Notamacropus eugenii: one gene and its partner. Each later gene encodes a partner of the first gene's protein in a complex. Links are inferred from orthologs where the notes say so. Each region holds a gene or a part of one and is shown on either strand. Other genes may lie near its edges.

Region 1 (16,503 bases):
TATAATAATAATAATAATCCATTTATTGAGTGCATTAATATTTGAAAAACATTTTACATGTCATCTTGTTTGATTTTCCCAACAACCCTGGAGGTAGTTACTATTATTATCCCATTTTCAAAGATGAGGAAGGTGATGAAGCTAACATGTTAAGTGACTTTCCCAGGGTTATGAAATTAGCTAGTATCTGAAGTAGGATTCAAACTCAGGTTTCTCTAATTCCATGTCCAGTACTATTTTCATTACACTACTTACACTTTCCATCTGAGTGTCCCAGAGATACCTCATATTCAGTATGTCCCAGACTAAACCTGTCATTTTCCTCCTAAACCTACATCTTTCTGCAATTTCCCAGTTTCAGTTGGTGATGCCATTCTCTCATATAACCTTGGAGTCCTCTTCTATCTTTCTCTTCCTTCTCCCTCATCTGCTACATCCCAACAATTGCCAGTTTATAATCTTTCTTTCTTCCTCAACTCCTGCTCTTATATTAGGAGACTTCATGTCCTGCCCACCCAGACCCTAATATACCAGTTCCTCAACTAACTCATTTCCCATGACCTTCTTCTCCATCCTACCTTAGTTATACACAGAGATGCTCATACCTTTGATCTCTCACAAATACACCACTTCCATATTCATGAACTCTGAAATTCCCTTATCTGATCACAATCCATTAGTATTCTACCTTTTCTCCTTCTTTCTAATACCAAAACCTTCTGTTCATCTACACCATGACCTCCAATCCTTTAACCCCTCAATTTTCTCCCAGGTCATCACTCCTTCATTAGCCATACTCTCCTACTTTCCCTATCTTGAGCCTTAGTGAATCAGTTCAATTCTATATTGTCCTTTTCTGTTGAATTCCTTGCTCCCTTATGATATCACTGATTGTGCCCTGCCAAACTTTAGCACTGGATTTCTTCCACCATCTGTTGCATCTGGTCATATGCATCTATTTTTGAATGAAATAAGAGAAAATCAAATTGTCCTGACTGAGTCCACCTCAAATTTATGTTAAACAACCTCAGTTGGACCCTCACTGCAATAAGACAATCCTTTTTTTAACTCCCTAATTAAATAACTATCTCACTCACCACCATGACTCTCTTAAAACTTTTCATCCCTCTTCAAACTTCCATGACTCACCTTTTCCATCCTCTTAGTTAAGAACCTCATCTCATATTTTACTGAAACAATTGAAGCATTCGCTGAGGGGTCCCTTTTCTCCCCTACCCCTTACTTCACATTATCAAGATGACTTTTGCCCACTAATTCTTTCTTTACTCCTGTCTCACATGATGAGGTAGCCCTACTTCTTGCCAAGGTCAACCCCTCTATGTGCACAAGTGACCCCATTCCATCCTGTCTCCTCCAGTAGATTGTCCTATCCACTTATCTTCAATCTCTTCTTGTCTACTGGCTACTTCTTTATTGCCTACCTATTTCTTTCCCCAGCTCTCAAAAACACCTCACCTGATCCACCCATCCCCACTAACTAAATTGTCCCATATTATATCTGCCTTTTGTGGCTAAATAAATGAACTTGAGAAGGCCATCTACAATAGGTGCCTCCACTTCTTTTCCTCTCTCTCTCCTCTTAACCCTCTATAGTTGGGTTTTGGACTTCATCATTCAATTGAAACTATTCTTTGCAAAGACACTAAATGATCTTTTAATTGCCAAATCCAAAGGCCTTTTCTCAGTCTTGACTTAATCGTTCACCTTCTTCTCCTTCATATTCTCATTGACATTCTCTTCTCTCTGGGTTTTCTGGGCACTACTCTGGTTCTCTTACTCATTAGATTACTCCTCATTCTCCTTTGCTTGATGCTCATCCAGGTCACACCTGCTAACTGTGGATGTCCCATAGGGTACTGTCCTGGTCCCCTTGCTTTTCTCCTTCTATTCAATTTCACTTGGTGATCTCATCAGTTCTTATGGATTCAGTTATCATATCTATGCTGATAATTCTCAAATCTACTTATCTCTGAGTTCTCTACTGACTTTCAGTTTAGCATCTCCAACTGCCTGTTGGACATTTTGAATTGGCCATTATATAGACACCTTAATCTCAATATTTCCAAAGATGAATTTATTATCTCAAACTTCCCTATTACTGTGAAGGGTACCACCATCTTTCCAGTCCTCCAGATTTGAAACCTAAGTGTTATCTTGACTCCTCTCTGTCTCTCACCCCTATCTAATCTGTTGCAAACCTTTGTAACACCTCTGGAATATCCCCCATCCGTCTGTCCTCTATTATTGTCATTACCCTCATACATCCTGGTTTCTCTCCATGCCTGTACTATTCCAATAACTTGTTGGTAGGTCTCCCTGTCCCAAGTCTCTCCTCACTCTGGGCCATCCTCCACTCAGTTGCTAGAGTGGTTTTCCTAAAGTTCGGGTCCAACTATGTCTTCTCCCCGCTCAATAAACTCCAGTGACTTCTTATCATCTTCAGTATTAAATTAAAATACTCTGATGTCCAATGCTCTTCATAACCTAATCCCTCTGTCACATTTTCAGTCTTCTTACACCTGACATCCTATCATGTACTCTTCAATATCCAGAGACACTGACCTTCTTGCTATTTCTCAAACAGAACACCTCATCTTCCAAGTCTGTGCATTTTCACTGGCTTTCCTTAGCCTTGTATGCACCTCTTCTCATCTCTTGGATTCCCTGGCTTCCATCAAGTTTCAGTTAAAATCCCACCTTCTATGGGAAACTTGCATCAATTCCTCTTAGTTCTGTACCTTCTCTCTGTTCATTATTTCCCATTTATCCTATAGATAGCTTGTTTGTGCATATTTATTTGTATGTTGTCTTGCCCCAAGGTTGTGAGGTCTTTGAGGTCAAGGATTATTTATTTTTTGCCCTTTTTTTTGGTATCCTTAGTGCTTATCCTAGTGCCTGGCATATGTAGGTGCTTAATAAATGTTCATTGACTGACAATATCTCAGAAATCCATCTCTTCTGCATTCCCACTACTAGCACCCTTGTTCAGCCTCTCATTGTTTCTTTCCTGGAAGAAGACTCTTAATTACTCTTCTTGCCTATTGTCTCTGCCCAGTCCATCCTGTACATACCATGAGATTAATCTTTCTCATGCACAAGCCTGAAATGTCACTAACTTGTTTAAAAAGTTCTAGTGGCTCTCCATCACTAATAGGATAAAATGCAAATGACTTAGTCTGACCATCCAGATCCAACCTCCTTTTCAGCTCTTACTTCATACTGTTCCCCTATATACTCAGTGTTCAAGGCAGAAGAGTTTCTGGTCCCCAGTCTACCTTCACCCATTGTCATACCTTTACTTACATAGACTCACCTGCCTGGATTGACTTTTCTTTCCCATCTCCCTTCCTCTTATCTCCATCTTTTCCTTCTTTGGCACTAGATTTGGAGGAAATGAATTTGAATCCCAGTTCTGTCAATTACTGCCTATATGACTTCTGACAAGTCCCTTCATCTTTGTGAGCCTCAGCTTCCACATGGGTAGAATGGATGGGTGGTGGTGAAGTGGGTGTGTTAAAATAAATAGTCTCTCAGGTCCCTTTCAGCTATAACCCTCTAATCTCTCTGGGTTTCTGGGTCTTAGTTGCTTCATGTATTTAATGAGACAGTTGGACTATATGTCTATCCTCCTGTCCATTTCAGTTCTTAATCTCTGATCCTAAGATATAATATAAACAATTCTTCTGAGACAGTTTCTCAGGTAGAAGTGATCCTTCCATCACCAAATCTTTCATCCCTCAATGTCTGATTTTTCATAAGCATTTGCCATTTTTAAAAGTTATTTTTCTTTGTATATATTCAATTAAATGAACATTTATTCACCTCCTACTCTATTCTAGGCACTGTGAATGGTGTCCGCTTTCAAGGAACTTTCATTCTACCATACAAATGTCATTATCCCTTTATTAGACTGTAAAGCATGGATGATTTTGTTTTTGTCTTACAAATCCCAGCGCCTGGAACAGCGTAGGTACACAGCATGAGCTTGAGAAATATTTGTTGAGCTGCATTGAAATGAAATCCTGGCGCTGCCACTTAGTACCTATGGCACCTTGGGAAAGAAATGACCTCTTTGGGTCTCAGTTTACTCATCTGTTAAATGAAGGGATTGGACTAGATGAGCACTAAGATTTTTCCCATTACTGACCCTTTCCATGTGTTTGGATGTATTTGACATCTCTAATTGTAAGGGGACATTTCTTTGTTGGGAATCTACATTTCCCCTTTTAAAACTACCTCCCATGGGTTGTAGTTCTGCTAAGGGATCTTGTGCCTCCTAAATCTTTTCTTCTTCAGACTAAGCATCTTCCCTTTCTTCAGATTATTCTTGAGTGGCCACTCATTCCAATAAAGACAAAGCCTAAGGCGACAACATCTTTCCACCAATATGTAAATTCTGATTGACAGTAAGAGAATGAACTCTGCCAGAAGAGAACAGAGATGGAGGTAGTTGGGAAATATAACGACACACCTTTGTTTAACCTTTAGAGATCACATAGTGCTTTCCTCAGCACAGCCCTGTCAATTAGGGAGGACAAATCCTATTTTGGCAAATGAGTAAACTGACCTGCAAAGATGTTGGATGACTTGGTCACGGTCCCCCATAGTAAGAGTGGGGATCTGAGGGAAGGTCTGAATTCCAAGACCTCTGGATATGTCAGCACTCTAACCACTACATTGTATTGCCAATTTCAAGGTTCCCATTTTTTTTTCAGTCTGATCTTGTGATTTCTTTCATGTGGGAATTCCCTAGATGGAAGCTCCCTCCAACGAAACCTATCAGCTACTCTTCTGTAACTTACAGGCTCACAGAGATGTCTGAAGCAGCGAGAGGTTGTGACCTGTCCATGATTAAATGACTAGAATGTGTCAGAGGCAAGACTGGAACCCTAATCTTTTTGATGATAAGGAAAGTGTTCTATTAGCAATGGAGCCTCCCAAAGGTTCTTTAAGAACTTTAAAGTAGCATCATTTAATGGAGGCTTATATCAAATAGCTGTCTGTCTTTCTTACCCAGTCATCGTGTGTCTGGAGTCCTCATTGCCCCTCATTGTATTCTTTAGATTTGCTTCTCTCCGCAGAAACCACCGGATAGAGGGAGAAGCCTTTTATTCTCCTGTCTTCTGACTCTTTCAGCCCAGCTACAGCTGAAGAGTTTGGTCTTCATAAACAAAGAAGAATCCAGAAACTTGGATGGATCAGCACTATCCCTTCCTTCATTGTATTGCATCATCTCTTCCCTTCCATTTCCTTAGAGGTAGTATGGTGTAGTAGATTTGGATTCAAATCCTGCCTCAAATACTGTGTGTGGTCTTAGCCTCTAGGAACCTCAGTTTCCTCATCTGTCAAAGGTGAATAGGAATAACACCAGGTTGTTGTAAGGATCAAAGTGATTTGCAGAGTTGAAGATTCTACATAAATACTAATTAATCAATAAGTTTTCTCTGTGCCAGATATTGTTCTAAATGTAGGGGCTACAAAGAGAGAGTCTTTGCTTACATTCTGATTGATATCAGCTATTTCTTTTTTTAAATTTATTTCTCAACTTCTTTTTCATTTTCTCTTTTTCTCTGCTCATTGTTCAACCTGCCCTTCATTTTCTCTCTCTCCTCTCTCTGAGAAGTTTCTTTCCCTCTTTTTCCTTTCTCCCTTCCCTTGATTCTCCTTACATTCTTATACTCTCTCTCTGGCTCCTACTTTTCCTTTGTCTTTCATTTTTCCTTCCTCTTCCCTCCCCCCACCCCACATTAGAACTGGAAAGACCTCAGAGAATTGTCCCTTAATCTCTTTCTCCTCTAGCACCCAGTACACATGGCAGATGTTAGAGACTTAGGCTTAATCAATGGTGAATTGGGTTGAAATCATTTAGTCCAATCTCATATCTTTTCTAAATGGAGGCATCTTCTTTCTCTCCATTCACCACTCCCCTCTTCCCCAACTTTGACTGTGTTGTGGTTCTATGTAGGCAGCTTAGGTCCAGTGAGAGCCTGAGCATCTGTTGTTTAAGGACCAACCTAGATGGGCTAAGAAAAACTTATCACCAGGGAGCTGGTAATCTGCTAATTTGTTTTCATCTCCAGCCAATGATTGCCATATTACAGATGGGCAAAGTGAGGCCCAGGAAAGACAGGGCACTTGCTTAAGGTAAGAGAGTGAGTTAGAGAGAGCTAGGTGGCATGGTGGATAGAATGTTGGACTTAAAATCAGGAAGACCTGAGTTCAAATTCTGCCTCAGATCCATACCGTCTGTGTGATCCCTGTGTAAGTCAATTAATCTCTGTCTGCTATAGCTTTCTCATTTGAAAATAAGGATAATAATAACATTTACTCACAGGTAAATGAAGATAAAATTAGATAATATTTTTATAGCACTTTGCATATTTTAAATGCTAATTGTTATTTTTAGTAGTAATACTAGACCAAAGGTTTAGGCCTAGGCTCCCTTACTTTGATTTCAGAGATCTCTGCATTATTCCTCAGAGCTCCCAAACCCCTTATCATCAATCTTTGTGTTTTTCATCTTTTCTTACTCAGTTTGCCATTTGCCTTAGAATTCTGATCAAAGTGTTAGTAGGAAACATTTGATTTGGTGTTAGAGGATGTGCGTTAGAATCCAAGCTTGGCTACTTTGTACCTCAGTTTCCTCATCTGTACAAGGAAGCATTTGGATAAGATGATCTCTAGTAAGTAATATTTCCACAGCAATTTAAGGTTCCCAAACCAATTTACATATATTATCCTGTCATTTGGTTCTTACAACCCTGTGGGGTAGGCACTGTTATTATCTCAATCCCATGGATTTTTCTGGGGTAGACAGAAAAGCAGCTTGTTCAGGGTTACATAGTGAGTGTCTGAGGTAAGATTCCAACTCAGATCTTTCTGACTTCACCTATATTCTATAGCTTATACCACCTAGGTCCCTTCTAGTTTTAAATCATATGAGCAGAAGTGGATTCGTCTTAAAAGGCATGCTTATATATATATATATACTCCATCTCTTTCAGGGCCTACATGCCCTATGAGGAAAGATGGGAGGGGACCTTCTCCTATGTGCGTCAGGTAGACAGACAGATATCCCTTCCCCTCTGCTCCGCTGGAGATGCCGATAACTGATATATATCTAGGGAGCGCAGTGCATCTGGATCCACATATCCCACCACTCCTGTTCCTAAGGAGCTGGGCCTAAGTAAGGTTCCAGGGGTTCGGCTTCCTGGCCCTAGTTTAAACCGAGGGACCTCAGACTGTCAGGGCTCAACTGAGAGGGAATGGGGGTTGCTCTTGGGGAGGTGTAGAGGGTTGGGGGCTGGTGCCTTCAGGACTTACCTCATGCGTGGAGTCATTTTACCTCCCCTTCAGTCACTTCTCAGAGATCGAACTGGCTGGACTGGATGGCTGGCCTGCCACAGGCAATCACCGGGGGCCTCACATCATCTCTTTTCTTGCTCAGTTCCTGAAAACTACTTCAGTACAGACTGTTCTTCCACCTTCCTCTCCCCATACCCCTCCCTCGCAACCCAGGGCTGTCGTTAGTCTCTCTGACTTTCTGACAGGCCTTCCTTGGGGTTGGGGGATTGCAACACCTGCTTCAGCCTCCCTCCTTGGGAAGGGAGCCCCTTCCCCCCAGGAAGGAGAGCTCTGAGAAGCTGGGCAGCCACTCTGGGGCAGCCTTCCTGCCCAGGACCCTTAAAGGGGCTTGGGGATGTGGCAAGGCTCAGAAGACCCCACCCCCCGGATTTCCTGGTCTAGAAGTCTTGCCCCTGGACAGAGGCCAGGGGTTCTGCAGCCTATTTTGGGGCCTGCCCTGCTACTGTCCCCCCAAAATAGGTGTTTTGGGAACCTGTCAGTTGGGCAGGTCAAATGCAATCTTAATCCTTCTTCCTTTTCCCCCAAATATTGGTCACTTGGGTAACCTGAAACCTACCTTTCCTTGAAGTCCTTGGTTGTGAATTTCTCTGAGTAATTCTTTAGCTGAATCCCAATGGGGAGGGAGGATAGAACAAGGTGGAGGAGAATTTTGGGTGTTGGCCATTGTTTTTATAGAGAGAAGAGGGTTGTACCCACTTCAAATTTGTGTCAATTATATTGAGGTAACATAGCGGTGGTACCATGGAAAGAGAGCTAACTTTGTAGTCAGAGGGCCTTCAAATTTTGGCTTTGTGTGTCTTATCCGAGCCTCAGTTTCCTCATCTGTGATACTAAAGGGTAGGGCTGCATAATCTTTAAGGTTCCTTCTCTCTCTGACATTCTACAATTTTAGCCCCCTCTGAACTTCACAGAATGTGAGAGTTGGAGGGCACACCTTTAATCCAGTTCACACATGAAAGAAATCCCTGCCATAAAAGATCCAACAACTGGTCATCTAATCTCTGCTTGAAGAACTGATTCCCACTGACCTTACAGTCCACTAAACTCCCGAGTCCATGCCTTCTCCCATCTTATGTCTGTGAAGTGGATTTTCTTTTGGTCCCTAAGTGCTAGACTTCACATTTATCCCCGCTGAACTTCATTCCATTAGATTCAACCCCATTCTCCAACCTCCTGAGATTCTTTTGGATTGTGACTGTTGTCTAGCATGTTAACAGTCTCTCCCACTTTTGTGTCATCTGCAGATCTGATGAGTGTACCATCTATGTCTTTGTCCAGGTCATTGATAAACATGTTAAGCTTTCAGAAGAAACTGAGGTGCTCCCAATTCTGATGTTCCTACTGTGTTGGCATTGAATCATTAATACCTACTCTCTGAGTTTGGCTACCTATTATTAACTTTGTTAATTCATCTGACTGTGTTTTGATCTAATCTATACCTTTCCATCTTTGCACGAATAGCATGAGATATTTTTAAAATAGCTTTCCTAAAATCTAGAAAAACTATATCCACAGCATTCCCCTCATCTGCTATTTCAGTAATATTGTCAATAAAGGAAATGAGGCTAGTCTGACAAGATGTGTTGCTGATGAAACGAAATCTCAGTTTCCTTATCTATTAAATGGGGATAAAAACACTTGTATTGATTATCTTTGTGAGACTTAAGGGAGATGATCAATAGAAAGTACTGTTGTTAATGGTAGAGCTTTATACAGGCAAACCTCATTTTATTGCATTTCACTTTATGGCCCTTCACAGATACTGTATTTTTTATGAATTGAAGGTTTGTGGCAACCCTTTATGGAGCAAGTCTACTGGCACCATTTTCCCAATAAAATGTGCTCACATCATGACTCTGTCACATTTTGGTAATTCTCATACTACTACAAACTTTTAAAAATTATTATCATATCTGTTAGGAGATCCATGATCAGTGATCTTTTGAGGTTATTATTGTAATTATTTTGGGATGCCGTGAGCCATGCCTATATAATTGGGGACCTTAAGTAATAAATGTTGTATTCTAATTGCTCCACTGATGGGCCATTCACTGTCTCTCTCTCCCTCTCCTCAGGCCTCCCTATTCCCCGAGACACAACAATTAAAAACCCTTAAATGATCTCTAAGTGTTCAAGGGAAAGGAAGAGTCGATCTATGAAGCAAACTTTGTTGTTGTCTTATTTTAAGAAATTGCCACAACCACTCTATCCTTCAGCAACCACCACCCTGATCAGTCAGCAGCCATCAACACTGAGGTAAGACTTTTTACTTATAAAAAGATTATGACTTGCTGAAGGCTCAGGTGATTATTAGCATTTTTTAAAACAACATAAAGTTTTTTTAATTAAATAGTATACATTGTTTTTTAAAAAGACTTAATACTGTTACACACTTAATGGACTATAGTATAGTGTAAACATAACTTTTATATGCATCAGGGAACCAAAAAATTCATGCTACTCACTTTATTGTGGTGGTCCAGAACTGAACCCACAATATCTCTGAGGTATGTCTGCATAGATATGGGTTATCATTATGTAAGTCCCCTCTCTTCCCCAAATATGTGATCCACAGGTTAGTTTTAAAGGAACACATCCTGTGAGGGGGGAGTAAGGGAATGGCCAATAGCAAAATGCATAAAAATGTGGGAGGGAAGGGAGGTGGGAGAATGGGAAACACATATAATATAATAAAACAAAAATGGGCCCTAAGGCTGGAGAATCTTGAGACGAAATCTTGTTTCTTATTGCTTTTACAATTTTTCACACCCTGGTCCTAATCAACTTGTCCTACATTATGATACATTATTCTCCTTCCTCAACTCCATGGTCTAGCATTGCTGAGTCTTACTGTTGTTCAATGTGATCTTCCACTTCCAACCTTTGTCCTGACTGTCTTCCTACCTGGAATACACTTTTTTCTCACCTGTTATCTCCAAGAATACTTAGTTTCCTTCGACACTTTGATCAACTACCACTTTCTAAGTAAAGCCTTTTCTGATTCTCCTCAGCTCCTATTTCTTCACTCTCCTCCATCCTCTGAATTTACCTTGTATTTATTCTACGTACACTTAGTAAGGTACATATTGTCTCCTGCGATAGAATATAAGTTTCTGGAGGGCAGGGACTATTTCACTTTTATCTTTGTATACCCAGCCGTGGTACGGTACCCAGCATGTAAACTAGGGGCTTAATAATTACTCATCGATTGATTGATTGGTGGCATTCACTCATGTGTAAATCAATACACCTTTCTGAGTCTCGGTTTCTTAATTTGTCAAAGAGTACTAATTTCAAAGGGTTCTTCTGAGACTCAAAGGATATTAGTATATGTAAAATGCCTTGTAAAACCTTAAAGCCCATTATAAATGTCAGTTCTTATGATGATGATGAATTTCTTCTTCTAGAGTCTTTAAAAGCAGGAAGAAATTTTTATCCAACTGATAAGTATTAAGAATCGACTGTCTTGCCCAAAAACAAGTTGAGGAGAACAAAATCTAACATTTCAAGGTTGATGTGTCATTGAAATGTCTCTGGTGAGGTTCTGAAGCATTTTGGACCCCTCTTTTTGCCACATCTTTCCCCCTACCTCAACTCCCCAATATTCTGCTCCCAATTATTTATCTGCACGTCTTTTGTAATCTTTTCCTTCATGGTTTAATTCTGATGTTAATTCCTTAATGATACCTTTCTTGATATCCCTTCCCCCTCCTCGCACTTGCTAGTGATCTTTCCCTCATCAGACTACCTAATCTATATATGCTGTTTTCCCAACCCCCCGCACCTCCCCTGCAAACCACAATAGAATGTAAGCCTTTTGAAGGCAGAATTATTATCATCTTTTTGGTCTTTGTATCGCCAGGGTCTAGTATGGCAACTTGCATGAAGTAGGTGTTTAACACATCTATTAAATTTGTTGCATTCTTGGAAGAGCAGAAGCTGGTCCAGGTATAGAACTCATCACTCATCTTCCCATCAAATACATCTCAGCCGGAAGCCCTTGAGAACAATAAACAACATGAAAATGTGCATACAAATAATTCCTGTTTCTTTTTGAGTCAGCCTTTCAGGCTTTTGGTAACAAGGCTCTCTGAGCATGCCCAACTCAGAGCCTCCAGTAAACACCTGTTTGCACAATGGAGGTCACCCGGATCCTTGAGCAATGCCTTGTTTGCACAATCTCAGCACAGAGAGCTATATTCCAACCCAGCAGCCTGGGCAACAGTTTCTTCCGGGCAGCAATCTCTCTGTCTTTGGTTCTCTGTCTCTGTCTGGCTGTCTCTGTTTCTGTTTCTCTGACTTTGTCTCTTGTCTCTCTATGTCTATCTCTATCTGCATCTTTCTGTCTTTGTCCCTCTGTCTCTGGCTGTATGTCTTTATCTGTCTCTTGTCTCTCTGTCTCTCTGACACTCTGCCTCTGTCTCTGTGTGTGTTACTCCTCATAGACAGTCTCAGGACCTGTTCTCCCACCATGGGCCACATTCCCAAACCAGCTAAGCTAGAAGAGGCTGCTTCTCTAGTCACACGGAGACAAGGACTCACAGGTTCCAAAGAGAAAACAACACTAACCTTGAGATTGTCTGTGCATCTGCAGTCAGAGCAGAATCAGGACACTGTCCAGCCCCAAAACATGGATTATCCAGAAACTACAGATAATTCCAAAAGGCACTTACATCTGTTTTTCTTTTTTTCTTTTTAAATATGTCTTTTTCCCTTTACATTTGCTCCTATTAGAGAGGTAGCTGTGGTACACTGGGAAAACCTCTGGGTGTTCCTGGACCAACGAAGAGACATGGTTTTTCATTCCATCTCCCACACTTATTATCCCCATGACTTTGGACTGGTCTCTTAATTACTTTGAAGTTCAACATGGGGATAAAATACCTTGTCCTTTGTTCATTCTCCTCCTAGAATCAGGGTATGTTGGTGCCTATTGCTTGTGTGCTGGAATTGTTTCATTCATTATATTATCAGTGCCTAGTCCATAGTAGACCCAAAGTAGACTAGAATAGCTAGCAGCTATATAGTGCCTACTATGTAGGCACTGTACTAAGCATTTTACATGTATTATCTAATTTGATCCCGATAATAACCCTGGGAGGTAGGTGCTATTATTATCTTATAGGTGAGGAAACTGAGGCAAACAGAGGTTAAGTGATTTGCCTAAAGTCACACAGCTAGGAAGTATCTGAGGCTAGTTTTGAACTCAGGTCTTTCTAACTCGAGACCCTGTGCTCTATTCATTGTACCACCTACACTATATAAATGTTAGCTATTATATATCTTATTATTACATTGCTTTAAGGTTGGCAAAATGTGTTACATAAATAATTTCTTTTCATTTTCACAAAAAACTCTATGAGTTAAGTGCTGTAGATATTACATCCCTATTTTACAGAATCAGAAATTGTTGGATTAAATAACATGCCCAGGGTCACACAGCTAGTAAATTTCTGAGGTAGGATTTGAATCCTGAACTTCTGGGGTCTAAGACATGCATTCTGTGCTTCCAACAGTCAACATCATGCCCCCTTGTTGGTGGGGGAAGGGAGTTCAGACGTGTGATTACATCACTCTAGGGAACTCACAGCAAGAAAACTCCCTTTAATTGGATCAACAACTGTTCTGCAATTCATATCTGCCCAGAACACTGAGAGTTTTAAATTATTTGCCTCATGGGGCCCTCACAGCCAGGATGTGTCCAAGGCAGGGCTTGAACTCAGGGCTTCCTGACTGGGAGTCCTCTACAACACTTCATGTCAGCATCATAAGGTGGGAGACAGGGACCACGATTCTAAATGTATTGGTGTAAGGAGGTCCTGTTGAAGACCTTCCTCAGGAAATAGAGATTGCACCCTGGCTGCAATTTATTCTCTTAGAATGTGCCTAGAATACTGAGAGGTTAGTTGACTTGCTTTGGGTCACACAACCAGTGTGTGTCAGAGATTAGATTTGAACTTAAGTCTTCTGGCTCCAAGGCCAGCTCTCTGTAAGTTATGCTTGCTGCACTGTGTTCTCCCTCTTTTCTCTTCTTCATCTCTCTGTCTCTCTGCTTCTGTCCCTATCTATGTCTGTCTGTCTCTCTCCTTCTCTCTCTCTCTTTATCTCTCTGTCTGTCTGTCTGTCTGTCTGTCTGTCTGTCTCTCTCTCTCTCTCTCTCACACACACACACACACACACACACACCGTAGCTATAGGACTGGCAAATAACTTCAACTTTATGACTCTCAGTTTCCTCATCTGTAAATATACTTAAAAATAATTGTGCTACCTATTTTGCAGGACTATTGTGAATAAAGCCCTTTGTAAACCATAAGCTGCCATAGGAGTAAGTTATCGTTGTTATTATCATTGTTTTCTAAGGCAGTACATTTTATTGTTGGACAGCTCTAATTGTTAGAAAAATTTCATCTCTCATTAAGCCCAAATTTGCCTCCCTGTAACTTCCCTTCCTTTGCTCATGGTTCTGGCCTCTGGGGCCAAGCAGAGTAAATCTAACTCCTCTGTCCTAACATAATCTTTCAGATATTTGTAAATAGTTATCATGTATCTTCTTGAGTCTTTATTCTTAACATCCCCAGTTCTCAAAGACAGCATGGATTCCAGTTGCTTTCAAAACTTTGGACAATCTGCTAAATATTTCTGCATCTTAGGAAAATAAAAGACTTAGATTAGGTGATCTCTGAAGGCTTTTTCTTTCTATGATTCATTCATTCATTCATCCATTCATCCAACCATCCTTCCTTATGCATTTATTGAGTTCTGCATTTACTGAGTTCTTTGTATTTGCAAGACCTGGTGCCCTATACTGCACAATATAAAGGAAGAATAAGACATAGTTCTAGCCTTCAGAGAACTCACAATCTAATAGATAGGGAGTGGATTGGGGTTTCTCCTTCAAAAATTTAATTTAGATGCAATACGATTTGGTGCACATATGTTTAGTATTGATATGACTTCATTGTCTGTGGTATTTTTCAGCAAGATAGTTTTCTCCCTTATCTTTTTAAATTAGATCTATTTTTGCTTTTGCTTTTTCTGAAATCATTATTGCTACCCCTGCTTTCTTTGTGTTAGCTGAAGAATAATAAATTCTGCTCCATTCCCTTACCTTTTCGTGTGTGTATCTCTCTGCTTCACATGTGTTTCTTGTAAACAAGGTATTATAGAATTCTGGTTTTGAATTCATTCTATCTGCTTCCATTTTATGGGTGAGTTCATCCCATTCACATTTATAGTTAAGATAACTGTTTATTTCCCTCCAAGCTATTTTCCCTTATTTGTCCCCCCTCTTTCTTATGGCCCCCTTTCCCTCCTTAAAAATATTTTACTTCTAATTACCATCTTCCCTAATCTATCCTCCCTTTTATCAGTCTTCCCTCCCTCTTCTATTATCTCTGTCCCTTTTTGCTTACTTCTGTGGTAAGATAGATATCTGCTCCAAAGGAGTTTGTTGGTTATTTCCTCTTTGAGCCAATTTTGATGAGAGTAAGGTTTAAGCTTTGCCTGCCACCCTCCCCTCATCTTCCCCTCCATTATAAAAGCTCTTTCATCCCTCTTTCATGTGGGATAATTTTAGCCCCTTCAACCTCCTCCCTCTTTCTTCTTCCAATGCAAATTTCCCCCTCACCCCTTTACTTTGTTTTTTTTGAGTATCATCCCATCAAAGGTATCTTATATCTGTATCTTCTGTCCATATTTACTCCTTCTAATTGCTCTTATAGTAATAAAATTGTTGAGTTACAAATATCTTGTCATATAGAAATACAAACAGTTTAACCTTATTGAATTTCTTTTGTTTTCTCTTTCTTGTTTCTTTTTTTACCTTTTTATGTTTTCCTTCACCTTGTATTTGGAGGTCAAATTTTTTTTATTCAGCTCTGATCTTTTGATTAGGAGTGCTTGAAAGTCCTCTATTTTGTTAAATATCCATTTTCCTCTCAAAAGATTATTTTCAATTTTTCTGGGTAGGTAATTCTTGGTTGTAATCCTAACTCCTTTGACTTCTGGTATATCATATTCCAGGCCCTCCAGTTCTTTAATATAGAAATTACCAAATCCCATGTAATCCTGACTGTAGCTCTACAATATTTGAATTGTTTCTTTTTGACTGCTTGCAGTACTTTTCCCTTGATCTGTGAGTTCTAGAATTTGGCTATGAGGTTCCTGGGAGTTTCCATTTTTGATATGTCTTTCAGGTGGTGATCAGTGGATTCTTTCAATTTCTATTACACCCTCTGATTTTAATATATCAGGGCAGTTTTCTTTGACAATTTCTTGAAAGATGTCCAGGTTTTTTTTTGTTTTTGGTCATGGCTTTCAGGTATTCCAATAATTTTTATATTATCTCTCCTGGATCTATTTTATAGGTCAGTTGTTTTTCCAGTAAGAAACTTCACATTTTATTCTATTTTTTAAAACTGTTTTTGTTATTGTTTTATTGCATATTGATGTCTCATAGAATCATTAGCTTCCACTTACTCAATTCTAATTTTTAAGGAATTATTTTCTTCAGTGAGTTTTTGTACTTCCTGTTCCATTTTAGGTTATTTCTTTAAGGTTATTTTGGGGATCTGTGATTGTATCAGTTTGGAAGTTCCCTCCTATTGAGGCAACTAGGTGGTCCAGTAGTTAGAATGTTGGGACTGGAATCAGGAAAACCTGAATTCTAATCTTGCCTTGTTTTGTGATCTTGTAAGTTTTGTGATCCTGGGCAAGTCACTTAACCTCTGTCTACCTTGGTTTCCACAGCTGTAAAATAGGGATTATAATAATAGCAACTAGTTTCCAAGGTTGTTGTGAGAATCAAATGAGGTAATAATATTCATAAAAAGCACTTAGCATAGTGCTTGGCACATAGTAGGTGCTTAATAAAGCCTTCCTTCTAATAATGTAGATCATCATCTATCCATGCTTGTCCATGTTGTCCTACTCGCTACAAGTTCACCTTCTTTGCTTTTTTCCTTACATTTTGAGACTATGAGTAACACACTCGGGTTGTCCCCTTGTCATTCCTAGCCTTCACCACATGATCAGTCCATCCTGTCTGTCATAGTATCCTCTGATATCATCCTTAATTCATGTTCTTCTTCCTAGTTCCTTATTGGTTATATGTTG
Region 2 (16,732 bases), on another chromosome or scaffold:
TAGAGAATTCTGGTTCCGCCCATTTCTACCCAACTAATCCAGAGCCGGGAAGACCTGTACAGGGGCAGCCCCTGCTTGAGTTCCTTCTCCTGGAATTATTGGTTTGTTTTGGGTTGGAGCCAAACCTAGGCTAAAGTCTGAGAAATATGAGGTCCCCCTTTTCCTCCCCCCTCTTCCCTCCCCACCCATGCACTTGGTTCGTAGGTTATGACTTCTATTTATTTACACTAAATGTGGCAGGGCCCCAGGCTAGGGAGAAGCAGGCTTGAATACTTTGTAAGAAGGGGACTATTTCCCCTTTGGACATAGAGTGTCCCCTTTTCACCATCCAGTGGAATTCTGCTATGGAATAAGACAGGCCTTGGTAGTAGAGCTACTGGGAGCTTCCTCTTGTTCACCACAGCAGAGGATAGATTAATTGATCTAGAGTTTTTCTATAGCATAGATCTTTGGAGAGTAGGGGTGGAAGGTTTAACCATAGTAGTGTTTCCCCTTCTTGACAGGTATCACATCACCCTGAATCTGTATTCTGTATTGTCCATAGAAAGAAAAAAGTATTTCAAGGAAAATAATCAACATATCAATGAATTGTGACTATGTAGACCATATTCCATAGCCTTGACCCTTCACCTTTACAATGAAGAAAGGATCTCTCCTTTCCTTTGCTGCTACTAAAACGGCTTCTATAAATGTTTTGGTTCATATGGCTTCTCTTTCCTTGATGGTTTTAGTCCTTAGTCGGCAGTCTTCCTTGCCACCCTCACTCCTGCCCACAATTTTGATAATTTCATTGTGCATGTTAATGACACTTCAGTTTCACTAATGTCGGTGCCTTCAAGCCTTCCTCAATACTTAGCTATCCCCAGGGTGGTCACTTCTTAGATCTCATCATCATGTCAGATTGTTCCACCTCCCAAACCTCTAACCTGTCTCTGATCTCACCTCTCTAACTGCCTTTTACTCTTCCTAAACTTTTTTTTGGTCCTTTCTTGACCTGTGAATTTTCTGTTTCTCCCTATTTTACGTGACCACAGAATCACATCTTTATAATTTTTGTCCATCACTCCTGGTTCTTCTGGAGTCAAGCAGACAAAACTCATTACTAACACATTCTAGTACTCTGAGGTGACTCCCTTGTTCCCTCACCTCTATGTCAGCTCTTCTCCAAGTGAAATATAAATTCTTTAAAGAGTAGAGGTTGCTTCATTCCTTGTCTGGCACGTAGTATGTGCTGAATAAATGCTTGTTGATGGATTGATTCTCTAAGTTAAGTATCCCCATTTCCTTCAATAGATTCTAATTTGACATTTGCTGGTCACCATCCTGATTACCCTTTTCTGGGTTCTCTCCTGCTTATGAGTGTCCTTTTTAAAATGTGGTTCCTAGAACTGAAAACATTACTACAGATATTGTCCAACCAAAGTAGAGTACAGTGCATCTGTCACTTTCCTTGCCCTACTCACTGTTCCTGTCTTTTTTTAGCAATAAATTTTATTGATCTCTTTTTTCATATATTACATTTCCTCTAGTATCTTCTCCCCTCCACAAATGCCATCTCATATACGAGATTTTTTAAGACAAAAAAGAAAAAGAAACCGAAGAAGAAAAAAGATCAGCTTAACTGATCAAAAAAGTTTGAAAATGTACAATACTTGTGCACCTTCCACCTCTTTAAAGGGATTCAGTGGTGGTGTCTTCCCTTATCTCTACTTTTGAGTCTTGTTCTTCATAATTTTGAAATATTGATTTTTGATTTTTTTGTGCAATTCTTTCCATTTACTCCAGCGTAGTCACTATGTTTGTCTTTTTTCTTGTCTCAGTTTCCTTCACTCTCCTTTGGTTTATGTAGATCTTCCCATGCTTCTTTATTCATCACATTCATCATTTTTTACAGCACAGTAATGTTCCATTACATTCATGCATCGCCATTTGTTTAGCTTTTCCCAAGTCTATAAGCATCCACATTGTTTCCAGTTCTTCGCCATCACAAAATGTTCTATAAATATTTTTGTAAATATATAGGATCCTATCCAGTTAGCTGGACGGTCTGTGACTGAAGATGGTTCAGCCTTGTTCTCCCTGACCCTGGAAAGCAGATCTAGAAATCTGTGGAAGGCACAAGAGGCAGATTTTGTTTTGATCTGAGGCAACATTTCCTGATAATCAGGGCAGTCCCAAAACACTGGATGGAAGGAATGGGCAGGCTCCACAGAGAGTGAGTTCCCCATCAGTGGAGGTCTTTAAGCAGAGGCTAAGATGGTCTCTTGTTGGGGATATTCTTGCTTAGGTGTTTGTTGCACTGGATGTCCTCTGAGGTCTGTGATAGTGTGAAAGGAGAAGGAAAAGGAGTGAGTGGTGAGGAGGGAGGAGAGCCAAGAGAGTGTGGTTTCTGAGAGCAAGGGAGAAGGGGGTGGGGTGGGGCTGGGCAATGATGTCAGAGGGTCCTGAAGAAGGCTAAGGACTGAGAAAAGGCCACTGGATTTGACACCTGGGAGGTCTTTGTTGACCTGAGAGAGAATGTTCAATAGAGCAGAAAGTAGGTTTCAGGACAGAAGTCCCCAAAGGAGGTTGTTCTAGTGCCATTGTAGTCCTGGGAGCAGTTTCCCAAGTTCTTGTAAGGAGCTGGGCACAGGGAAAGTGACCTGATGGCTAGGGTTGGCCTGGTTCTGGTGCCTGAGCTACTTCTGTCTCTGGGATCTGGTATTCCTCCATCCCTTTCCCTCTGTCTGGCAGAGAGGCCAGTGTGGGGCTTCCTTAATGTGAGGGTTGAAATTCCCTCTGTGGGATTCCTCCTAGGCCAGGAGCCTTTTTTGGGGAGGCTCTCTTCTTCTCAGGGCTCTTCTGTGAGGAAGGGGATATACTTTGACTTAGGGTTTGCCCTGGGACCTTTAAACAGAGTGGGGTTCATCTCACCAGTCAGCCAGGAAACTGGGGGAGGGATGGGGAGGGACTGGGGAGGCCTCAGGGTTTGAGGAGGGGTTCCCTTGGAGTGGGGAAGGAGAGGGTTTTGAGCAAACCATGTCTTCCCCTCTGCCTCTTCCTCCCATTCCCCAGCTGACAGGTCCATGAGCAGTTCTCTGTCAGCCTCTCGGATGCACACAGTCAATATGAGAGACCCTTTGAACCGAGTCCTTGGTAAGTTCCCTCTGTTTCCTAAGCCTGGCCAGCTGGGCAGGAGACTCCCTTCTCCCACCTTCCCTTACCTGGTGGTGGAGACCCTCTCCCAGTCTGCCCCTGAGGACCTTCTGGTGTCCCCTGTACCAAATTGTCTCCTCCCTTCTGTCCTCTTCCTGCTTCTTCCTAACCCTCCTCTGTTCTCCCCCCTCTTGATTTCTCCTTTCCTCTTGCTCTCTTCCTGCCTCCAGAACTTCCTTTGCCCTTTCTGCTCCCTCTGCATCTCCAGATTTTTCTTCATGCTTTGTGCCTTTGACTGATCCTCTTGTACCTCTTGTGTCTGGCTGTGCACAGCAAACCTGTTCCTGCTCATCTCCTCCATCTTGGGGGCCAGGACAGCAGGCCCTCACACGCAGTTTGTGCAGTGGTTCATGGAGGAGTGTGTGGACTGCCTGGAGCAGGGCAGCCGAGGCAGTATCCTGCAGTTCATGCCTTTCACCACTGTAAGTTGTGGGGCCCGGGTGAGAGAGATGGCAGGTGTTGGGGGTGGGAGGCCCTGTGCTGCCCCTTAGGGCACTGTCCCTCCTGAGTGGATAGAGCAGGTGGCTCTGCTCTTTGGTATTGGGGAGTGAATTTGGGGAGGTGTGGGCAGTGTATTGGAGGGGATAGGGTTTACCTGGGATGGGACATTTGTGCAATTTCTAAATCAGTTCTTTGACTCCAAGTCTAAGACTTGTTATAATGTACTTTTTTGTGATGTCCACTCCTTGACTTTGTTATCTTTATTACGCAGTTATATGCCCCTCTTTGCGATCTCATGCACTACAGCTCTCTATGGAGTTTTCTTGGCAAAGACACTAGAGTGATTTGCTGTTTCCTTCTCCATTAGATCTTTTTGTCAAACAGTCAGAGGTAAAGTGACTTACCCAGGATCACATTACTCGTAAGTGTCTGAGGCTGGATTTTGAACTCAGGTCTTCTTTATTCCAGGCTGGCAGCTCTACCCACTGAGCCACCAGCTGCCTCCTTAACTCTTGGTCAATTATTCCTGGAGAGCTTCTCATCATGCCTTGGTTTATTAGAATGTAGATTGAAACCTCCTCCTTCTTGTCTTTCTGTTTTTAATTATAATTTTTTTTCACATACTAAGCATTTATTTTCTCTCCCTCCTTTTCTCCCTTCCCCCATTGAACATAAGGATAACAAAACCCTTGTAACAAATGTAGTTAGTCAAATAAGAGAGACTCCTGTATTCTGCTTTTCCAAGTAGCAGTCAACCTGCTAGGACTAAGAAATATTTCTTGTATGCCTTTGGGATCCACTTTCCACACCATCTTTATTATAAAGAACGTGTTATTCTACTATTCCTTGTGAGGTTTGGGGTGTGTCCGTCTGTAGGTCTGGCCTGCCCTCCTCTAGGGAATCCAGGAGTGGCTGCTGGAGGGAAGAGATCAGTGCTATGGGCTCCCTCCCTTAGGCCCTCTCTGACTGGAGCCCAGCTTTCACGTGTGAGTGTAACTCCTTCCAGCCCTCATCCTCATAAACCCTACTTGGGAGGCCCAACCAAAGTTGGCTTCTAGTTTAATTATTTTCGTCAGGAGAGGGATTTGGAAAATGGGATTCTTTTAATTCCTAGTCCATTATAGCTAGACACTCTAAAGTTCTTTATAATTCCAAGCTGAGAAATTGTTCTAGCACAGCTTACGTGGGATTTCTTCTCTAGAAACTAGGCAGGGAAAGGAAATTTGGTTTCTGAGGAACTGAAGGGTGGGCAGTTGTTAGGCATGGAGAGAGAAGACTAGCCATTGTGGCACTTTGTGCCAATGGAACTGCCCTGGGATATGGTGGTTACCTGATTAGAGGCTGCTTGTCTGGCTCTGACAGAATTGAAATGAATGTGGTGGGCATGGGAGGGAGATTAGGGAGGAGAGTTTGCATGGAGGTGGTGGGAAGTGTTCAGAGCCTACCTTATCAGACGCTGTCATCTATAGGCCTCCCCTCTGTTCTGGTTTTGAGGATATCTCTCTATTTACTACTCCATTCTGCCTTTCTTACCATGATCAAAATTATAATTAAATCAACAGTTACAACCCAGACAGGCTAATAGAAGCTCATAGAAGCTCAGCCAGGCTGTGAAGGCTTAAACCCAGCTCCTTCTCTGTTCAGAGGGTATCAACAGTGGAGCTGGGTTAGGCAGACTGTCTGGGAATGTAAAAAAAAGGGGGCCGACCTCCAGCTCGGGGAGCCCCACCAAGCCCTACCTTCCCTTCTTGGAAAGCTAGCTGGGCATCTGCTCAGCAGCTGGATACCAGGAATAAAAGTAACAAGCCACCATGAATGCTCAGAGCAAGAAGGACTCCAGGGACCTCCTCTGATCTCCCATAAATACCTTCTTCACACCCCAAATTCTTGAAAAGAAAATGACTTCACACAGAATTAGGATTTCAGGTGCAATTCAACAAATATTTATTCAAATGCCTACAATGTGCTTAGCACAGGGGATGCAAACACCAAAATGAAAAACTGTGCCTGCCCTCAAGGAGCTTACTTTGTCATCACCTCCCAGCCAAAGCATTCTTTGTTCTGCAAAGAGCCTTTCCCATGCAGCAAAGGAAAAACCAAAGGACAGAGTTGGATTGACCCTGGCAAGACTGGTAAGTTAGGCTCTGCCTCCAACCCAGCCATGGCTAGACCAGGAGAGTAGGTACCAGTATTCACCTAGGGAACACTGCTGTTTAAATATTAAACAACGGAGCATCTCCCACCTGGAGATTGGTCATTTAATGGCAATACTTGGTATTTACCTATTTATCTTCCAGCCCCCAGGATGGCTGGTCAGGATTTTCCCCTGCTATGAGCAGGGAGACTGACTGTGACCTAGAAATGGGATTGAGGGAGAGGACTCCAGTCCCTTTCACCCTTTAAATATCTTACTAAGTTTAAATATATAAATATTAAATAGGGGATAAATATAGGATTAACTCAGGACTGGGAAAGGTGGCGCAGGTCACGGTATGCCATGTCCAGGAAGCCCTGCAAGTAGTTAAAGATGATGACGCCCCCCGCTCGCCGCTGGAAGGAGGAACTGAAGGTGGGCAGGGGGCCCTGAGTGGGCATGACCTCACGAGCCACTTGAAGATCTTCCATCTGTGGGAGAAGGAAGGTGTCAGAGGTAGAGTTTGGAGGGGGAGCCAGCAGGTCTCAACCACTGCCTTCCATGGCTGAACCTCAACCGTTAGATGATTTCTGCCTCCTGGACAAATTCCACCCTAACAGTCCTCTAAGACCAACAGTAGAGATGGGTTCATTTTAGACCTTTGACCCATACCTCCCCTCTAAATATAATGGCTATTCCCTAAAGAACAAAAACATCCTTTCATCTATAATATCAGGAAGGGAAAAGGAAGGATGTTCATTTGATATGTAATGGAATGCCTCACAGTTAGGCAGCAGTAAGTCTCACCTGTTGCCAGATGTTGGCAGCAAAATCACCAATGTCTAGCTGCAGGATGTTCACAGTCGGAGCCAACTCAGGGGAGATGCCCCCTAGTGCTTTCACAAGACCCTGGTAGAGCTGAAGCCCATAGTGCAGCTGATTCAGGCAGGCCACCTAGGGTTAGGCAGAGTGTTAGGAGAAAGGGCCTGGAGCTGGAGCTAAACACTCTTCCGCCCTACATTCCCTCCATGAAATTCTCAAATCCATACCTCCTCTCCCTAAACTGTAGCACTGAGCATCAGGGTAGAATTAGTGAAATCCAGATAGGATTTTTTGGGGAGCTACCCACCCCCAAAGAGGAAAGAAAGAATGTGTATTTTCCCATACCTTCTATCCCTGACTCCAGAGGTCAGAGAAGAGTTTGGGGACACTTACCAGTCTTAAGTCCTGACTGTAACAGTTTTTCAGAGGTGGCTTGGGGATGCCCAGATACTGGCCAACCAAAATCAGCTCCTCTGGATGGCACAGTCTATAGTTGGCACACTGGGAAGACAGGAATAGAATGCTTAGTAGAACTGAAGGTAAAGGGTCACCCCTGGGCCCTATATATGGTCTCTGCTTCTTAGTTTTTGTCTGACCATCTATCTTGATGGCAGTGGATAGAGAACATTGAATTTGGAGCGAGTTCAAATCCTGGCTCTTACTCATAGTTGTGGCAAGTTTGAGCAGATTCAGCTTCTCTTAATATCCCACCCTAAAGTTCCTTCCAGCCAGAAGTTCTAATATCCCAGCCTTCCTCCTGCCTCCTGTACCTCCTCAGTTTCTCTCTATCTCAGTGGGATTGTTCTTAACATCCCCATTCATTTGGTTTCCTGGTTTCTATTCTAGCTCACTCTTGTTTTCCCCATGTCCTTTCCCTGGGCACTCTCAGGTGCTACCACTTTCACCCCAGTCTGCCCCTGGGCCTCTCATTTCCCTACTCCCTGGGTCCCTTTCTCACCAATTCCTGCTGTAGTCCTTCAATGTCATTCTGGATCTTCCTCACTTGCTCCTGGATTTGGGGAAGGAAGCTCTGGTGTAGGTAGTTGGAGGAGCTCAGGGGGATGGCAAGGAGCTGAGGCCAGACTGCACTCAGCCAGAATACCAGCAGGTCTGGGGAAAGAGAGGGAGGGGAATTATCAAAACAGAGACTTTCTTTAGAGAAGGGTCCCCATCCCTCCACCCTAAGACATTTTCCATTCCCAACAAGGGATCCCTCTAGTGTCTCTGACTCTCCCCACCTCCCCATTATAAAGTCAATGAGAATCCCACTCCCTTCTCATTTCAGGTGCCTTTCCTAACCCTAGGCAGAATGATAGACAGCCCAGGCAGTCCCGTCTTAGCGATGAAGGAAGAAGGGCCCTTAGGTCACCAGACTCACTGGGAAGCTTCATGGGGATTTGGTCTGGTCGATGGATGGGGCCTGTTGGGATCAGGAGTTGCAGGCGCTGGACTGTGTCTGAGGCTGGCTGCTTGAAGCCTTTATAGGATGGGCCATTCAGGGAGGAAATTACCTGGTGCTGAAAGTTCTTAGTAATGACTTCCCAGGTTTATGCAAATCAATGCCCAAGACAATGCCTTAGGGTGGAGTGGGGTCAGGGGGTGGGGGTGGGAGGGCAGGGGTCTGGGGCGCCGAGGGCTCAGTTTGCGAAAACTTTGGGAAATAATGGAATATCTCATCCCCCTTTGACGTCCGGTGCTCCCTTCCCCGCCCCACCCCATAGCCCAGAGATGCCCTGGGGCTTTCTAAGAGAACTGTGTGATCTAGGGCCTGCCTGATAAGAGGGAGGGACCGAGACCAAGAGATGGAGAACAGTGACAGAAATGGAGCCAGTGACAAAAAGACAGATGGAAGCCAAGAAGAAAGACCCGTCGGGTCCCTCTTGTCCTGTTAGCCCATTCTGGTCTCGCACTGCAGCCTTCTCTTCTAATTCCCTCAGCCTGGCTGGGCTCCCTGGCTAAGAAGGGAAGGAATAGTTCTCTGGCCCCTGTGACTGTGTCTCTTTCTTCAAGCTTTCCTGGATTTGGCTGCCTCTTCTCCCTGTAGAAGTAACTGCCTCTCTTGCATCTGAAATTGGGGCATATAGTAGAAGCTATAGGGTGCTCCACCGCCATGTTCTAACTCTGTTCCCCTCTCCCCCCATCCCCCCTTCCTCTGGACCAGGCACAATTCCAACCTTCAGGCTGCTTTGAGCAGGTTATGCTGGGAACTCCCCATAGTACACGCACATCCCCCAACCAGTGAGTCATGACTCATTCTTTTAAGCCCCCAAATTCCCCAGCTGGCTGAAACCGGATGTCTGTCCTGAGTGAAGCAAGAATCGCAGTAGCTCTTGACTGAACTGGTCATGTTCTCGCTCCCCCTAGAACGCATCATCTTCCTGGAGAGTCACAGGGACTGGGTCAGGCTTGCCCCTTTCACAGCCTTGTTGGTTAGGAATGTTTCCCCCTAGAAAGGAAGTTGGCAATGTGTGTGTGTGTGTGTGTGTGTGTGTGTGTGTGTGTGTGTGTGTGTGTGCAAGAGCAGGGAACGGGGAACAGCTCTGTCCTTGGAAAGTGATTTGAGGACAGGTTGGCAGGATACTGCCTTCCCCACCATGTGCCCCATGCCCAAGAATAGCTTTGCCCCTCGTTCCTGAGATGAAGGGTGCCCCCTTACAGCAGGGACCATCCCTGGGACTCTCACTCCACCTGGTGGCCACACCTGACAGGTATCAAACAGACCCTGAACTTTGTGGGTCAAAAGACGAGCTCTGGTTGCCACTCCCCAGTCTGTTAGTGGACAAATCATTTCACTTATTCAAGCCTCAGCTCATTTGGAATGTTAATAACACACTTTCTACCTCTTTAGGTTGTTGAAAGGAAAATGCTTTCTAAATTACAGATCCTTGAGAGCTATCAGTTAGCCTTTGTATTCCCAGCATTTAGCAGTGCCTGGTACACAGTCGGTACTTTAGAAATGAAGGAAACAAGCTTTCATTAAGCACCTACTAGGTGTTCATCCCAAACTACTTACAAATTATTTCATTTGACCTACACAACAGCCCTAGGAGGTTCGTGCTATTACCACCACTCCCTTGCTCCCCCCCTCCCCTTTTACAGTTGAGAAAAATGAGGCCGAGGTTAAGTACTAATAATAGCTAACAGCGCCTGCTCTCTGCTAGGCACTCTGCTAAGTGTCTTACAAATCTTATCTCATTTGACCCTCACAACAAGCTGGGGAGGTCGGTGCTATTATTATTCCTATTCTATCTTGACAAAGCTGGCTAGTGGTGTTACTTTAGTGGTTATTGACAGGAAGGAAAGACTGGTGAGGTTTTTCCAAAATGTTTCCAGGCAAAAGAAAAATCAGAAAAAGTAATTAGAGTTTTTGTTTTTCTCTATTAAAAAAATGCACAAGTCTAGTGCGGCCCCACAGTAGCTGTAATTTTAATCACAGCTTAAATATTTTGCAGTGGAAAGGAGAATTGGAGAAGTTCGTAAATATATGAAACCAAATGAGAGGATGTCTGTCTAAATGAGTTATATAATTAAAAAAGAACCCCCCCCTCCCAAATTATCCTCATATTGCAGATGAGAAAGTGAGGCAGAGAGAGGTTAAATGACTTGCTTTGGGTCACACTGAGGCTGGATTTGAACTCAGGACTTCCTGACTCTAGTTCTAACACTATCCACCGTGCCATTTAGCTGCCTATATATGTGTGTGTGCATGTACACATGTGTACATATATACATTATATATAAATGTGTGTATATATGTATATACAGAGAGAGTAAGATAGAGAGAGAGGGAGAGGAAGAGAGGGACACAAAGATGGAGAGAGACATAGAATGGGACAGAGAGGAAGGGAGAGGGAAAGAAAGGAAAAAGGTAGATGAAGCTTTTATTAAGTCTTTTCCATGTGCCAGGTGCTGTACTAATCACCGAGGATACAAGTACAAGCAAGTAAGACAGTCTTTGCACTAAGGGAACTTACATGCTAATAGGGAAAGACAATACCCCTGGAAAGGGGAAGGGGAGGGGGGTGAGTTAGAGATACCGGGAGTGATTTGGAACAGACAAAATGGCCTGAGCCCCTAAAAATTAAGGCAAAAATTCACCAATGGAAGCCAAGGGACCCAAAGGTGGGTTCCGTTTACTTGTAGAAAGGAATGAAGGAGAGTTATTTGCCAAGGATGACTTGTTATTGTAAGAGATGATACACATGGACCCTAGCTTTTGGGGCAAGAACTCACTATTTGACAAAAACTGCTGGGAAAACTAGAAAATAGCATGGAAGAACAGGTATAGACCAACATCTTACACTATATTATCTTACAGATATACTAAGATAAGGTCAAAATGGATGCACAATTTAGACATAAAGGGTGTGATGATATAAGCAAATTAGAAGAGCAAGGAATAGTTTACCAAATCTATAAAAAAGGGAAAAACTTATAGCCAAATGAGATAGAAATCATTACTAGATATAAAATGAATAATTTTGATTATATTAAAAAGCTTTTGCACAAACAAAATCAATACAACCAAGATTAAACGGAAAGCAAAAAACTGGGGAAAAAATTTCACAGGAAGTATCTCTCATAAAGGCCTCATTTCTAAATATATAGAGAACTGAGTCAAGTTTATGTAAGTTATTCCCCAACTGACAAATGGTCAAAGGATAAGAATGGGCAGTTTTCAGATGAAGAAATCAAAGCTATCTATAGTCATATGAAAAAATGCTCTAAATCACTGTTGATTATAGAAATGCAAATTAAAACAACTCTGAAGTATAATTCTCACATATCTCAGATCAGCTAATATGATAGAAAAAGAAAATGGTATATATTGGAGGGGATGTGGGAAAATTGGAACACCAATGTACTAATTGTTGGAGTTGTGAACTGATCCAGTCATTCTGGAAACAATTTGGAACTATGCCCCAAATTCTATAAAACTGCATACCTTTGATCCAGTAATACCACTACTAGGTCTGTAATCCAAAGAAATTTTTAAAAGGGGGGGTATTGGGGAACATGACCTATTTGTACAAAAATATTTATAGCAGCCTTTTTAGTAGTGGCAAAGAATTGTAAATTGAGAGAATTGTCCATTATTTTGGTTGAACAAGTTGTGATATATAATTGCAATGGAACACTATTGTGCTATAAGAAATGACAAGCAGGCTGATTTCAGAAAAACCTGGAAAGACTTACATGAACTGATGCAGAATGACATAAGCAGAACCAGGAGAACATTGTACTCAGTAAGAGCAATATTATACAATGATTAACTGTGAATGACTTAGCTTTTCTGATCAATATAATAATCCAAGACAATTCCAATGGACTCATGATGAAAAATGTTATCCACATCTAAAGAAAGAACTGATGGAGTCTGAATGTAGATCGAAGCATACTATTTTTTACTTCATTTTATTCATAGTTTGTTTGTTTTTGGTCTGTGTCTTCTTTTACAACTAATATGGAAATATGTTTTGCGTGATTGTACATGTATAACCTTTATCAAATTGCTTACTGTCTCAGGGAAGGAGGAAGGAAGGGAGGGAGAGAATTTCGAACTCGACATTTTTAAAAAAATAAATGTTAAAAATTGTCTTTGCGTGTAACGGGGAAAAAAATAAAATATTTAAAGAGAGAAAAAAGAAATTATGCATATGAAGAATTCTGAGAAACTTGGCAAGACTCCTAACAACGGAGACAGAGCAATATCATCAGGGGCAGACCCGTGTCCAGGTTGACTACAACACCATGAAGGAGAAGAACACCGAGAGACTTCAGGCTTATGGTCAGTGCACTGAGCACTTGAGAAGACTGACTGCCAAGTGCTTCTCCCACCTCTTGGCAGAGAGGTGGTAGATTAGAAAAGTCAAATGAGGAATATATTTTCATATATGACCAAATGTAATGATTTGTTTTGTTCAACTATGCTTATTTATTAAAAGGGAGGGTTCTATCGTAGGCAAGGGAAGCCAGTTGGAAAAATGAAATTAAAAAAAAAGAGAGAAAAGAAAAAGAAAGAGCATCAATAAAAGTGACTTGGCAGGGGTGTGCTTGAGCCAGCTTGTGCTCCAGAGTGCCCACTGTTAAATTTTCAGTGTAAGCATTTACCCTTCTGAAATAGTCAGATTGGGGTCTGAGCTATTGTCTTGTTGATTGTCTAGATTTAAGAAAGTGATGGAGAAAATGTTAGTAATGAAGATTAAATTTAAGTTTAGTAAGCTACGCATACACCCACTGAGTTCTGGTTGTTAAAATTTTGCCAGCAAGCACCCGCATATGGCTCAAAGCTCCCCAAGGAATTCTGGGCTCACATGGATCTGATCTTGGAGACTAGACTCCTTGAAGGGTTAGTTTCCTTGGCTCTTGCCCCAATTACATACATTTTATTCTGGGGAGATCTCCAGAATAAAGCTTAGGTTTGGTTTATGTCTAAGTTTTCCACAATGTGGGTAGCAGGAATTTTTACATAGGCATTCAATAAATGGGTCAGCCTTTTTTTTTTTTTTTTTTTGACTACCACAGAAAATGCATAGAATTCACAGGAGCCTGTGGGCAAATACAGAAATACAAAACCATCAGACCAAAAGGTAAGACATTCTGGGGTTACTCCTTGACATTCCTCATTCACCTTGATCTGCACTGCCCAAGCAATACCGGGGAGAGTTAGCAAGGTCCACATGTCCTATGGCTTTCATCCTTCGGCTTCTATTGGTCTTTTCTTCTCATCCAAGGAGCACGTTGTTGTGGAAATTCTCTTTAGAAGATGCTCCTGCCCAAACCATAGAACCCAGGCACTCAAATTTGAAATCACCCATGAATTAACTCCAAAGCTGGTGCTGCTCAGTATCTTTTCAGACTAGAAGTTTAGGATCATGCTACCTGGCAAGGAGCTGGGATTCAGGAACAGAATTTTTGCACTCCTCTCCTCAGGTAGTGTGGAAAAAAGTCTGCACCTGCCATGTGCTGCTTCTGTGTCAATTGTAATTACCTCTTGTGGGGGAATAGACAAGGAAAACCTCTCCTCCTATTCCATCTCCCTCTCCCACCACGCTGGCTGCATTCCTGAAGAATGTGCAAGGGGAAAATAATGAGGGAGTTCTGGATGGCTAGAAAGGGAGAGAGGGATGCAGGCCCTCCCAACTCACTTTTATAACCCACAGGTCAAAGGAACGAGATGGCCCCTGAGTCTCTGTTACTGGGAATCAATCAAAGGCTTTCTCTGTGTTCTTTTAGAAGCCACAAGAAAAACTAAACCAAACCAAACGTAACAAAAGAGGAAATAGGTCTGCTTCATTCTGCGTTCCAACTCCATAGTTCTTACTCTGGATGTGGATGGCATTTTGTATCATGAGTCCTTGGGAAATGTATTAGGTTCTTGCCTTGCTGTGAAGGACTGTCTATTAAAAACAGTCCTCACACACTGTGGCTGTTACTGTGTGTGTTCCTTTAGCATGGAGGCAGTGTACATATTCTCTATGAGAGCTGCCTTTCAAATGGATATAGAGATTTAGGAGTCATCTGCACAGAGATGATCATTGAACTTGATGAGTTTACCATGTCTTAAGAGAATTTCTCGCTTAACTTTTGTTTAAAGTGAATTTTGGAGAGAATGTAGTTAACATTTGACTATATATGACCTATGCAGGTACTGTAGGACCAACAGCAGTGGTTGGTTCTCTTGAGTGTCTTTCTTTGTTTCTGTCATTGGTACAAAAAGACTAAATTGCTAAAAAAAAAAAAAAAAAAAGAGGATTTCATCTTCTGGGATATCTACGTCCATTATGTAGCCTTTCAAGAAACTCCTTTTGATTTAGTGAAACCAGCTACACTACCACGACACATCCCTTACCTGTCTCCTTTAGCCAAGAATATACATATTCTCCTTAACATAAGTATTTTGTATAATGAGCAACCATCTTTGTTTGTTTGTTTGTTTCAGATAAGTGTCTAAGTACAACAGACTGAAAGGTGAAAGACACACATTCCCGTCACCTGTAGGTAGGATGTGTCTCTCTCACCCACTCTGTTCTCTGATTTGTTCTGACTTAAGTGGTATTGGATAGTTGAGCCTATGTCTAAATTCGTGCAGGAACTAGAAGAGAAGATAGGATGGACTGATAAAATATCAAGGTCTGAGCAAGACAGGGGAATAGGACCTAAGAGAGAGAGTACACTCACATATGACAGGACAGAGTATGGATGATGAGCCTGGAAAGGAGACTGAGTCAGAAGAAGGAGAGAATCAGGAGAGCAAAGTGTCATGAAAATCCCAGAAGGAGGATGGGGTTGTCATGTTGAATGCTGAAGAGAGGTCAAAATTAAGTGATGACAGAAAAAAATTATTAGATTTTGAAATGAAGAAACCAGGAGTCCATTTCCAAATCCATAACTGGTCCAAAGGAGGGGAACAAACAGTTTGCAAAAGGAGAATTGCAAAATATAACTGTCCACAGGAAAATATGATCCAGATCACCAGTGGTAAGAGACATGCAAATGACAATCATTCTGAAATTTCCCCTTCCACCCTGAAAGTTGGTACAAAGATTTAAAAAAAAGGACAACTTAATAGTCAAAGTGAGAGGAGTATGAGAGTAAAGGCACAGTAATACATTGTTGGGAGGTGATGAATTGGTTTAACTTACAAATATTAGTATGAAATTATGCAAGGAATGACAAAACGGTCTATACCCCTTGACTCAGTGATTCTCCAATGGATCACACATACTTAAGAAGTAAGAGACAGAAACAGTAGTCTAATAGAAACCACAATATTCCTTCTAGCACTCTTTCTGGCAGCAAAGAACTGAAAACAAAAAGGGTGCCCATCAATTAGGGAATGACTTAAAAACTGACTCATTAATGTCATAGAGTATTACAGTGTAGCAAGAAATGAGAAATACAAGGAATTTAGAGGAATATAAGAAGATTTATTAACAGATGCAGGGTGAAATAAACAGAAATAAGAATAATTTATATCTGCAACAATATCCATTCATTAATTCATTTGTTCATTCATTGAATAAGCATTTATTACAATATCCTGCACAACTCCATAACTCAAGTACTCAAGAGTTAGAGGACCTGAGTTCATATCCCACTCCTGACATACTTTTTCTGTGACCTTGGGAAAGTCACTTAAAATTTCTAAACTTCTGTTTCCTTCACTATAAAGCGAGGGGGATTGGATTAGATGGAATTTAGGGTCTCTGGATGCTTTAGCCTGTGATCTCTACTATGTACCAGGCACTGGGCTAGGTGCTGGTTATACAAGCATGAAATAAAACAGTCCCTGTTCTCAAGGTATTACATTCTATAGAGAAAACAGCATATTCTTAGAAAATGCAATATAAATTATATGCAAAATGAACTCTGGGGAGAGAAGGCACCAGCAACTGGAGGGATCAGAAAGACGTTCCTAAATGAAAAGATCACTAAAAGATAGTAAAACTCTGGGGAACAGCAAAAAAAAAAAAAAAAAAAAAAATGAAGGTTTCAGAACAGATACTGAAAAATGCCTCTTTTCTCAGGGGAAAGTGGAGGGGGATAACCAGGAAAGAATATTGCCAAAATTATTACTGGATTGGATGTTTTTGCTTAATTGCTTGTCTATCAAAAGGAAGGGTTCAATCTAGATTCGGGAGGACTAATGTTCAGACAAAAGTTATTAATAAAATGTGTGGCTATAGATGTTGGTATACACATAGATGTATGTGTGTGTCTATCTATCTATCTATCTATCTATCTATCTATCTATCTATCCATCTATCCATCTATCCATCTATCCATCTATCCATCTATCTATCTATCTATCTGGGCTGCTTTCCTAATTCACACTCAGAGCCCACCCTCAGCTTGGGTCCTTTAGAGAGTGGCTGCTACTATTCAGGTTCTTATGTACTTGAACTCCTAAAACCGTAGCTCGCAAACCTTCACTTTCCATTAATAGTCACACAATAGAAGGAAGGAAGATAGTAAGCATAAATAATAATAATATAAATAAATGAAATAACATAAGTAACAAAATAAATAATACCCACTATGTATCAGGCACTGTGCCTTTACACAAATATTATCTTATTGGATACGAAAATTTGGGAAGATCCCATTATGAGCCCCATTTGATAGCTGAGAAAACTG

The links.
Region 2: the proteins of CSF3R (region 1) and CSF3 are in contact, whole or in part, in a crystal structure (PDB 2D9Q), measured with the Homo sapiens proteins. The link is inferred for Notamacropus eugenii from reciprocal best matches to the Homo sapiens genes CSF3R and CSF3. Residues at the interface, in NP_000751.1 of Homo sapiens: Arg164, Arg190, Lys191, Leu193, Leu194, Leu195, Tyr196, Gln197, Asp220, Met222, His261, Ile262, Asn263, Arg311, Pro313, Leu314; in NP_000750.1 of Homo sapiens: Ser42, Leu45, Lys46, Glu49, Gln50, Arg52, Lys53, Leu141, Asp142, Asp145, Thr148, Thr149, Gln152.

What each region holds. Positions count from the first base shown.
Region 1 is NC_092876.1:83,168,923-83,185,425, reverse strand, and holds the start of CSF3R (granulocyte colony-stimulating factor receptor), read right to left. Parts: upstream 7,672-16,503; 5' UTR 7,345-7,671; intron 1-7,344. UniProt on the Homo sapiens protein: Receptor for granulocyte colony-stimulating factor (CSF3), essential for granulocytic maturation. Plays a crucial role in the proliferation, differentiation and survival of cells along the neutrophilic lineage.
Region 2 is NC_092873.1:355,566,293-355,583,024, reverse strand, and holds CSF3 (granulocyte colony-stimulating factor), read right to left. Parts: upstream 8,110-16,732; 5' UTR 7,839-8,109; coding exon 7,549-7,838; intron 7,101-7,548; coding exon 6,986-7,100; intron 6,725-6,985; coding exon 6,578-6,724; intron 6,262-6,577; coding exon 6,097-6,261; 3' UTR 5,580-6,096; downstream 1-5,579. UniProt on the Homo sapiens protein: Granulocyte/macrophage colony-stimulating factors are cytokines that act in hematopoiesis by controlling the production, differentiation, and function of 2 related white cell populations of the blood, the granulocytes and the monocytes-macrophages.